3 linked regions of the Canis lupus familiaris genome follow. The protein of the gene in region 3 binds, or shares a complex with, the protein of the main gene of each other region. Links are inferred from orthologs where the notes say so. Each region holds a gene or a part of one and is shown on either strand. Other genes may lie near its edges.

Evidence for each region. The genes of interacting proteins can lie anywhere in the genome.
Region 1: DHX16 (region 3) and RBMX2 share a complex: the UniProt entries of both Homo sapiens proteins name them as parts of the minor spliceosome. The link is inferred for Canis lupus familiaris from reciprocal best matches to the Homo sapiens genes DHX16 and RBMX2.
Region 2: DHX16 (region 3) and RBM48 share a complex: the UniProt entries of both Homo sapiens proteins name them as parts of the minor spliceosome. The link is inferred for Canis lupus familiaris from reciprocal best matches to the Homo sapiens genes DHX16 and RBM48.

What each region holds. Positions count from the first base shown.
Region 1 is NC_049260.1:102,438,422-102,442,073, forward strand, and holds part of RBMX2 (RNA-binding motif protein, X-linked 2), read left to right. Parts: intron 1-1,445; coding exon 1,446-1,575; intron 1,576-3,158; coding exon 3,159-3,336; intron 3,337-3,652. UniProt on the Homo sapiens protein: Involved in pre-mRNA splicing as component of the activated spliceosome. As a component of the minor spliceosome, involved in the splicing of U12-type introns in pre-mRNAs.
Region 2 is NC_049235.1:18,072,534-18,075,067, reverse strand, and holds part of RBM48 (RNA-binding protein 48), read right to left. Parts: intron 2,117-2,534; coding exon 1,971-2,116; intron 490-1,970; coding exon 1-489. UniProt on the Homo sapiens protein: As a component of the minor spliceosome, involved in the splicing of U12-type introns in pre-mRNAs.
Region 3 is NC_049233.1:613,748-618,149, forward strand, and holds the start of DHX16 (pre-mRNA-splicing factor ATP-dependent RNA helicase DHX16), read right to left. Parts: upstream 2,875-4,402; 5' UTR 2,664-2,874; coding exon 2,457-2,663; intron 796-2,456; coding exon 551-795; intron 455-550; coding exon 295-454; intron 1-294. UniProt on the Homo sapiens protein: Required for pre-mRNA splicing as a component of the spliceosome. Contributes to pre-mRNA splicing after spliceosome formation and prior to the first transesterification reaction.

The DNA of each region.
Region 1 (3,652 bases), on a different chromosome or scaffold from region 3:
CCTTTTAATTTATGAATCTTTAACTTATCTGGAATTTAACTTTGTATAAGGAATAAGGTAGATTTTTTTTCTATTTTCTATTTAATTTCTGCTTTTATCTTTATTAACTCCCATCTGCTTTCCTTAGATTTATTTTCTTTTATATTCATTCTGCCTTTTTATTTTATTTTTAAATATTTTATTTATTTAATGAGCGAGCGAGAGAGCGATATCTTGAGTAGAGGGGAAGGGCAGAGGGAGAAACGGACTCCCTGCAGAGCTGGGAGCCCAACACAGGACTTGATCCCAGGAGCCTGGGATCATGAGCTGAGCTGAAGGCAAATGCTTGACTGACTGAGTCACCTATGTGCCTCCTATTCTACCTTTTTAACAGTAAAATTCTTTAAGGTTGCAGATTTTCCCGAGCGTAGTTTTAGCTGCATCTTGTAAGTTTTGGTATATATTCTCATTTGTGTTATTTTTTAAATAGTCTACCATTGATTTTTTTTTCTTTATTTCAATTTCTCTTTCATCCAGTTGTTAGGAGAATAGGCTTCAAGTTCTAGCTTGTAGGGTATTTTTTATTTAAAATATTATTTCCAGCTGTATAGCATTGTGATTGGAGAACATGTTCTGTTTTTGGAGGTGATTGAAGTTTATTCTATAGTCCATTTTAATACATGTTTCATGGATTATTGAAATGGTACTATTTTTGTAAGATTCAGATATATATATCCACTAGTTTGACATTAATATTTAACAACATAATTGTTATATTATAGTTTATATTAATGTTATAATTATATATTGATATTAATTCCTCTGACCTTATTTTTGTCAGCTTTATGTGTTATAAACTTAAAGTGGTATGCTAAAATATAACTTTTGTTATTAGTTTCTCTTGGAATTTCTAAGAGTTTCTTAAGTTAAAATTTTTGACTTGTGAACTTATGTATAAAGTTTCATGACATATTTTTGTAATATATTAGGACCTTTTTAACAATTTTTTTTTAAATTTTTATTTATTTATGATAGTCACAGAGAGAGAGAGAGAGGCAGAGACAAGGCAGAGGGAGAAGCAGGCTCCATGCACCGGGAGCCTGACGTGGGACTCGATCCCGGGTCTCCAGGATCATGCCCTGGGCCAAAGGCAGGCGCCAAACCGCTGCGCCACCCAGGGATCCTATTAGGACCTTTTTAAGTGTAAAAGAGCTCTCTTAGTCCTGCTTAAGGGGAACTATTTTTTTTTTTTGGCCTTGAATTCATCTTCGATCTTAATATTACCACTCATTTTGTAATTGGGTGTTCCTGCTCTGTCCTTGTCTAATTTTTATTTTTAACTTTATGTCATCTTTTCCTAGATGTATCTCTTGTATAGATTATATTATTTGAATTGTTTTGTCATTCAATCTGAAAGTTTTTGCATTTTAAATCAATGGTGTCTTACTCTTTTATAAAATAAATAGATATGGGGAGATTGTTAACATTAATCTGGTGCGGGACAAGAAGACTGGGAAATCCAAAGGATTCTGTTTCCTTTGCTATGAAGACCAGAGGAGCACAATTTTGGCTGTTGACAATTTTAATGGAATCAAGGTGAGTGTGTTCACTAAGCAGGATCTGGCTGGACTTTTCCTGTATGTAAGAGTTCGATTTAATTTCCCACCTGATTGCCCCAAGTTCAAGGACAGTACTGGTCACCTGGATGTGTTGAGGGTTGTAGAGGTGTGGGGACATACTGACCAGGAAATGATCCCAGGAAATAATTTCATTGGCTTATGACCCTGCTGACACTTGTTCCTTTTCCTCATGTTCATCTTCCCAGGAACATAGGTATCATGTCCCTCACCCCCAACCAAGCCCCTGGTTTCTCACCTTTCCATTCTCACACCCTACTCTCATCTCTGATGTATTGGGCAGTAAAAAGACTAGCAAATACTGCTCTTCCATGCTATGCTGTGTCAGAGGATTTGGCGCTCTCTTATGGCTTCATCCTCTAAGACATAGCTCTGTGTGTCTGTCCTATGTCTCCACTGACTTAGCATTACTGGGCCTTGGAAATTCTCTAGATGAAGTCTGATGACAAATTCTACAAAAGTAACTCATTCTGAAGTTTTCCCTTGTCTGTTCCCTCTCAGAACACTCTTGGCCAGAGAAGGTGGTAGACAAGTCTGGCTTGTCTATGCTCTCCCTGGTTCCTCTGCTTATTTAGGAAAAGCACTGCAGTTAGATAAGCATTTTTTATAGGTTTGGGGGTGACTTTGGACTTGGAGAATTTGTCACTGATTGCAGCAGTATGGAACAGCTGAAAATCTCCATGAAAGGGGGATTTTCTAAAATGTTTTCAAAAGGGGAATAGGAAAGATGACCTTTAAGTTCAGGCTTAAAGGTAAGAATGAAACTCTGTTCTTGTATAGGAACAATAAAAGCCAGACATAAGCTTTTGGATGATTTTTTCCTATAGAATAGGTCTGTATCTGCCTGACTATTTTTAAGTGAGGGGCTAATTTTTTGTTGTTCACCCAGAGAGTTGTGATCCACAGCAAAAATAAGTGTGAGACAGTTGTTCCAGTATGGTGGGGGTAGAGCAAGGCGTGAGGGCTTAGGAAAACAAATTCCTTCCCCTTTCCCAAATATTGGTCTGCCTTGACCTCATCCTAATTGCTGTATCAAGAAAACAGCTGTAGTGCTGCACTCGCTTCAGGAGTTCTTTCTAACTGCCAGGCCATGGTATGTTTTACTGCAAATTAATGTGATTGAGGGTAATTCATTGTTTATGCATGTAAATTCTTAGTTTTCCCTGCTGCTTGTGCTTTGGGGCAGTACTGCTGAGCATTTTTTCATTTAATTGCATATGTAGAACCTGAAGGTTATTGTGTGGCACCCTGGGGTAAACTGAGGAGGCTGCCTGGTAGAGTTGCCTCAGGGACTCCAGCTGCCTACCTGATTGCCCCAGGGAGGGGCTGGGCAGATTATTATCTAGGTATATGTGCTGTGACATACCAGTTGGGCAGGTCTGGCTTAGATATTTCCCCAGAAATAGAATTAGCAGGAAGGTAAAGGGTGTAGTTTGAACCATGGCTTTCTAGGGTGTGGTTTGAACCATGGCTTTCTGCAGCTGGGTTCAAATAGTTCAGAAGTAGGGCCCTCTCTGCTGAAGCATTGCCTGTCTGTCTTAGATCAAAGGAAGAACTATCCGAGTGGATCATGTGTCTAACTATCGGGCTCCTAAGGACTCAGAAGAAATGGATGATGTGACCAAAGAGCTCCAAGAGAAGGGCTGTGGGGCTCACACCCCCTCCGTGAGTTCATCCGAGGGTTCCGAAGATGACAAACCCCCAAAAAAATACAAAAAAGGTAAAGCACTAAGACCTGAGAGAAGATTCTGGGTAGTCTTAGTGTTTGCTCCTCCTAGTATTCACTGAGAATTGGTAATCAGTTATTAGGTGTGAAAAGGAAGGGTGTGGGGAACCGTATAGTAATTGGGAAAGGAGAGGTATCAGTGGAAGACTAATATCATGGGCTGAATTCTGTTTCCCAGTTCATATGTTGGAGTCCTAATCCCTCGAGACCTTAGAATGTGACTGTATTTGGAGGTCGGGTCTTTAGAAAGGTAATTTGGGGATGAGGATTGCCTTATCCAGTGACTTGACCTGTCAAGGGGGACAGTTGT
Region 2 (2,534 bases), on a different chromosome or scaffold from region 3:
ACAGAGGCCCAATCATAACCTCATTACTACTTGTGCTTGTTTCAAGAAAAGTTCCAATTTTACGATCATCTTCTCTTCTTCTTTTCCGCTCCTGCAGTTGTGTTGTCCTAGGCATAAATCTCTCAACTGCCTCTGAAGAAGTAATAGCCTTTTGTGCACCAGGGAAGGCCAATGAATTTTTTAAAGGTTTCATTTGTATCTTCTGCAAAGAGTCATTGTGCATACAATGCTCCATTGTTTTAGCATGGTTTCTACTGTCCTGAGAGAAGTTGGATGCTTTACCCATATGTTCCCCTGACGAACATGTACATTTTGAGGAAAAATAACATAAAGGCAATTCACAAGAATAAGGAAGACAAGGGTCTGAGTTGCCAGCAGAAGTATTCACAGTGACTGCACGAAATCCAGATGTCCCTGAATGGAAGTTCTGTCTGAAATCTTTTGTGTCTTTAAGCTCTGTAACCCGTTTCTTCTTTGTTATGTAATGATCTTCACATTACAATTTAAAAGGTGAGATAAGAGGAAAAAGAAATGTTTTATTGTTTTCATCATTCAGAAAACTATAATTTTAAAAACAAACATTACTTTAAATGTTAACAATGGTACCCTGAATAATTTATTTCTTAAGCAGGCAATACCTTGTATTTAAAAGCTAAAAAGGATAAAGAATATATTAGTGTCAAGTGTCATTCTTTCTTTGCTCCCCATCTTCCTCGTTTCTACTTCTCCATAAGTAATCCCAATTCTTTCTTATTTATCTGTCCAGCTAGGTCTTACTTTTCCTTCTCCCACCAACTCCTCTTTTTCCATAATATCCATTTCTTTGTTCCTTTGCATTTTCCACCTAACTGTAGATCTTAGAGATCTTAGAGATTTTTTCTTGGTCATTACATAGAATGCTTCTTTCTTCACAGCTTCAGAGGAGTCTACTGTATGAATGTATCATGCTGCTTAGTTTGTGTTTAATTTTTAAAAGAGGCAGTATGCTGGACCCATATTTTGTAATTTTATTTGCCACACAACCATAAAGTTTTCCTAGAACTATTCACATATCCCATGGGTTAAAGTTCAGGGTCTACTAATGACCATGGGCTCTCAACAGTTCTCTTGCCAAATTTTCAAATAAGTCTTCCAAGAGTCTTCCCTCCTTACTTCTCTTCACCTCTGCCACAGGCCACTTCCCCAGTCATAAACTCCTCATATTCAATAACTGTGTGGATACTGACTTGGTCTTTCAACTAAAGGGTGGAAAACTGGTCATCTGAGCCTCCAGGACTATTCAGATTTCAGACCACACACATTATTTTAGTCCAATTCTGAGTGCTCTGTTCCTACAATCCTTGTACCAAATCCCATGAGACCCTATTCCAGGCACCTGGAATTTATGTCTAGTGAAACTCAGTGGGGCATATGGCGTCTCTGGCCAGCTACTGGTCAAAAGTGGGACTTTTTCACATTTAATAGTTTTAGATTGGCAGTAGGTAACTAGTCTGCAAATCATAATTGTTTCTCACTGCCTTTATGTCAAGCCTTAATTCCTCAGCATGGGACAGACACGAGGCACTTCATGATTCAGTTCCTGTCCTCTTTTCTAATCTTATTTCTAGGAGCAGCCCATGTTGTGGTTGCCCTGTACTACTTGTAGTTCCTTCATACACATGATGTCTACTTATTCCTCTGCTCTTTAAACATGCTACCTGGCTTACCTTTCCATCTCCCCTTCTGAGTAATGTCTACTTGTCCTTCAAAACTCAGCCATCTCTTTCATCCTGTAGGACTCTTGTCACAAACTAACATCTTTCCCTTTCCAGCCCAGATTACTTGAGAGTGCTGCACAGAATCCTGCAGTTTATAGTTAATGAATATTGTGATTATTTATCTCTCTTCCCACTAGACTGGGAGGCTCTATGATGATACACCTCGCAGACTGCCTGACACACAAAAGATGTTTAGTACCTGGCTTTACAAACCTTTATTTTTAGTAGTTCTTGCTATATAAGCCTTCCTCTCCTGTAATTTTTTTCTAGTTTCTTCAACTGTTTCAAATTCTGGAGCATAGCATACATGAAGCAATCCACCAAAGAAACTCTGTTCATCCATTTTTCTCTTGGCTGTCCTAAACAGAAATATGTGATAGCATGTTTTATTAATCTTGACCTACTTAGGATGAAAGCTGAAATAGTATACAATGCATTGATCCAAAAGTCCAGGTTTTGCTAGGTGTACATACATCCTATGGTTTGGGAGTTAAGATGTTCTACTTGTGTATGGTATTAACTCTACTGATCTAGTGCATACTCTTCAAGCCTTTCATCCCCTCGCTCTATACTACTAACAGATTTTGAGCTAAGTCATCCACACATAACCAGACTCCCTTTAACCAACTTAGGAGCCAATAGTTAACTTGAGGTACACAATCTGTGGTCATGAAATAGAGATTTCTCTGTGTTAAATGTCCCTTAAGAGTCAGCTCATACCCAATTTAGCCTTTTCAGCACAATGGATTCACAAATAAAAATATTGTAATAGTAAAA
Region 3 (4,402 bases):
AGGGTGCAGGGCTATGAGGCCAAAATCTCCCACAGCCACTCCCTCTCTAGAATCACAAGGATCATTTGGATATACTATAGCATACAGAAATGTCCCTTCTCAGGGGGGAATCTCTAGGCCTACAGGTTGAGCAGAGGATCAGCAGACCCTTCTGGGTCCTCTTACTACAGAGATGAACACCTCCAGAGGCCACCCTGGTCTTCCCAGAGAGCCCTATCTCTGCAATCACACCCAACCTCAGATCTGACCCAGGGATCTTCTTGGGGATTTACAGAACATGCTGCTCCTATGCACCTTCTTGTCTGACCGCTCCAGGACATTGCGAGTCCGATCCTTGTCTCGCTGCCGAACCCGCTCAGCAAAGGCATCACGTTCCTCCAGGTCCTGAAGGCGCTCTCGCTCGGTCCGCTCCCACTCATCCTCAGATTCCGGCTTCTCAGTCTGTTGACTCCCCCTGCAAACCAGTCCAAAGGATTACATAAGGTCTCCTAGGAAGCTTACTGCCCCCTTATCCCCTGCCTCACCCTCTCTCACTCTGCTTCTAACTTACCCTGTCTTTCTTCTCCCTTTCTCGGAAATCTCTTCCTCCTCTTCTTCCTCCTCCTGACATTTCTTCCTGAGGTGTTTCCGTTTTCTACGCTTCTTCTGGAGACTGCTCCCAGTTCTACCTACGGTCTCCTCACTACTCTCCTCACTGTCTTCCAGCAACTTATAGGATCGGTTCTTTTCCAGCAGGGCTTGGGCCTCTCGCTCGGCCGCCCGAGCTGGCTTTTCTACCACCGCCTTCCGTGGTACCTATCAGTAGAAGGGAAGATAATGGGATGTGAGCAACTCCTGATTTTTACCCATCTACTTTGCCCCATTCTGAAATTTAAAGAATGGCGTGATTTTTTTTTTTTAAGATTTTATTTTTTTATTCACGAGAGACACAGAGAGAGAGGCAGACAAACAGGCAGGGGGAGACGCAGGCTCCATGCAGGGAGCCCAACGTGGGACTCGATCCTGGGTCTCCAGGATCATGCCCTGGGCCGAAGGAGGCACTAAACTGCTGAGCCACCCGGGCTGCCTGGAATGGCCTGATCTTAAACTAACCTTCATTGTCTCTTTTCCTCATGGCTTCACACCATGTTCATCAGCCTGAACTGGGCCTTTCAGCTTCTGAACCTCCTTGCAGTCATTCATTTAACAAACATTTATTGAAGCCTGTCTGATGCACCAGGTACTTGCTAGGGATCAAGGACACAGGAATAAATACAAGACAAAAATTCCTGCCTGGGTGGCTCAGCGGTTGAGGGTCTGCATTCCGCCCAGGGCGTGATCCTGGAGTCCTGGGACTGAGTCCCACATTGAGCTCCCTGCATGGTGCTTGCTTCTCCCTCTGCCTCTCTCTGTGTCTCTCATTAATAAATAAATAAAATCCTTAAAAATAAATAAATAAAAATTCCTGCCCTCATGGAGTTTATCTTACATTCTTTTTTTTTTTTCTTTTTTTTTAAGGTGTCCCATGCAGGGAGCCTGATGTGGGACTCGATCCTGGGACTTCAGGATCACGCCCTGGGACAAAGGCAAGTCCCTACATTCTCAAAACCAATTCTCAATTGCTCAGACTCTGTTCTTCCCCACAATTAAGTCATCACGATGCAAGGACTGACATGCTACAAGGATTGGTTTACAGAGGCCTGTCATATGTTTGGCACCGTACCAGATTCCAGGGATACATGCTACACGGATTTACATAAAGTCCCTATCCTCATATCACTTAGATTCTAAATTCATCTTTCACCAGGAACCATATGTGACAACTCAAGCAGGCTACCTGCCATTCTAGGAACACGTTGAACACTTTCACTCTTCGATATACTTACTAAGCACCTGTTCTGTAAGGTGTTGTCAGGTGGAAGAAATACAAAGACAAGCAATACACAGTCCTGTCCTCCAGGAATTCACTTTTACACCTTTACTCCTTCCCCCTTCTCTATCTATCAGACAGATTCCGGGGAATCTTTGGGCCTGCTTTCCCCTGATCACTACCCTTACCTTTTGTGCCCTACCACAGCACTTCTCACACATTTCTTCTATAGCCTTGCTACTCAAAATGCTGTCCGTGGACCATCAGCTTCACCTGAAAACTAGCTAGAAATGCAAAAACTAAGATCCCACCCCAAACCTATCGAATCTGGATCCACATTAAAACAAGGGCCTATTAAAGTTCGTGAAACACTGCTCTACAGCACCTAACGGTCCTTGAACTTCTCCCCAGAGCTGCACGTCCAGCACCTAGTACAGTACCCAGGCGACAACGGATAAAAGCTAGGTGCTGGTGTAACCGAGCTTACTTAATTCCCCCAAGGACAGTTAGCCTAGCCTCACCTGGATAGACAACCTGGGGCCCCGCCCCCGCTCCACCTGCTCTCCCGCCGCGCCCACGCCGGGCCCCGCCCCGCCCCTGCAGACACCTTGGTCCAGAGTCTCAAGGCGAAGTCGCGAGCCGGTCCGCTGAGGTCCAGAGTATCGGTGTCTCGCAGGCGCTGTACGAAGTCCTCGGCCGAGGCGCATCGCTGCGCGGTACCGATCAAAAACTGGGCTACGTGCCGCTCGCTCAGCCCCAGCACCGAGTGCAGCTCGTCCTGCACCCAGCGCTCCAGCCCAGCCGGCGTCGCCATGGTGACCCACGCTGCCCGGTTCCTGGCCCTGAACTATGTCGAGTAAACACGCTGGCGGCTGGGCTCGTCGGAGGCCTGCAGGCCTGGAGCCCTGGACTGGAGTCCCAGCTCCGCAAAGGACCTGCCTTTGACCCTTGGGTCTCGGTTTCCCACAGCCCCAAACCGTCTTCTCGGACCGCAGAAGCCGGAAACGACTAGTCGTTTCCGGCCAGTCGTTTCCGGCCTGTGCACTACGGCGGCCGAGCGAAGTCAAACCTCGCGGAACCGCCGAACGGGTGAGACGTTTCGTTTCCGTTTCCACCAAGTCTTTCTGTCGCCCTCTGATGGTCAGTCTGTGGATACCTCGCTCACGCATTCATTCAACAAATGCTGTGTGCTAAGCAGTTTTAGTTGCTGGGGATGTGGCAAATTATCAGACAAAAATCCCTTACTGAAGGAGGGGGAGGCAAGGTAGATAATAAATAAAGTATGGGGCCAAAAATAATGCAAGATTTGTGTGTGGTTTGGGGAGGTTCTATTTCAAATTGAAAGGCTAGGTCCCTGCTGATGAAAATTAGCCCATGCTGATTAGGAGTGACGTTTGCTCGTGCCAGTACCTGTGGCAAGAACGAATACACGTTAGACACAAGCGAGGACCTCCAAGCAGCAAGAAACAGCTTTAAAAACCTCCAATCTGGGATCCCTGGGTGGCGCAGCGGTTTGGCGCCTGCCTTTGGCCCGGGGCGCGATCCTGGAGACCCGGGATCGAATCCCACGTCGGGCTCCCGGTGCATGGAGCCTGCTTCTCCCTCTGCCTGTGTCTCTGCCTCTCTCTCTCTCTCTCTCTCTCTCTGACTATCATAAAAAAATAAAAAAAAAAAACCTCCGATCTCAGGAATGTGTAAACTGTGTTCTGCATTTTGTTAACAGCTTGAGAAATTCACTGGCGGTGCTTATTCAAAAATAAGCAGAGGAAAAAAACAAAAACAAACAAACAAACAAAAACAAAAATAAGCAGAGGAGCACCTGGGTGGCTCCGTGGTCGAGCGTCTGCCCTCCGCTGCCCTGGTGATGCCCTGGTGATGCCGGGTCCTGGAGGGAGCCCCCCCGCAGGCAGCCCGCTCTGCAGAGGGCCTGCTTCTCCCTCGGCCCTCACCGGCGCCTGCCCTCCCGCTCGCTCGCTCGCTCTCTCTCTTTTTTTAAAGATTTTTAGTTATTTATTCATGAGAGACAGAGAGAGGAGAGAGAGAGAGGCAGAGGGAGAAGCAGGCAGAGCTCCCTGCAGGGGGCCCGACGTGGGACTCGATCCGGGTCTCCAGGATCACGCCCTCGGCCGAAGGCGGCGCCAAACCGCTGCGCCACCGGGGGGCATGCCCAGCACTGGCTTCTTAGATGCATTGTTTTCTGTTTCTGAGATGGACTGTGGGCACCCCTGGCGTCTCAGAGCTTCCTGCCTCTGGTTTCCTGGGTCACAACTATTAGGGTCTTTATTTAATTAGCTACGAGTATAAGCATTGTTTCCCTCCATACTCTCTAAACTGGCTTATTGTTTTAACACCTTTGTTGTTCCTTTGCTAGTAAGTTAAAGACTTTGGTATTCGTTTTGGTATTCGTTTAAGGTCGGTTTGTCTTATTTTGTATTTAGTAAAAGGGGGTCTCCTCTGACTAAGCTGAGAAAATTCCTGTAGTGGTAGGACTATAACTACTCAAACATGTCTTTACTACCCTAGCAAACTGGAAAAAAAAAAAAAAAAAACCTG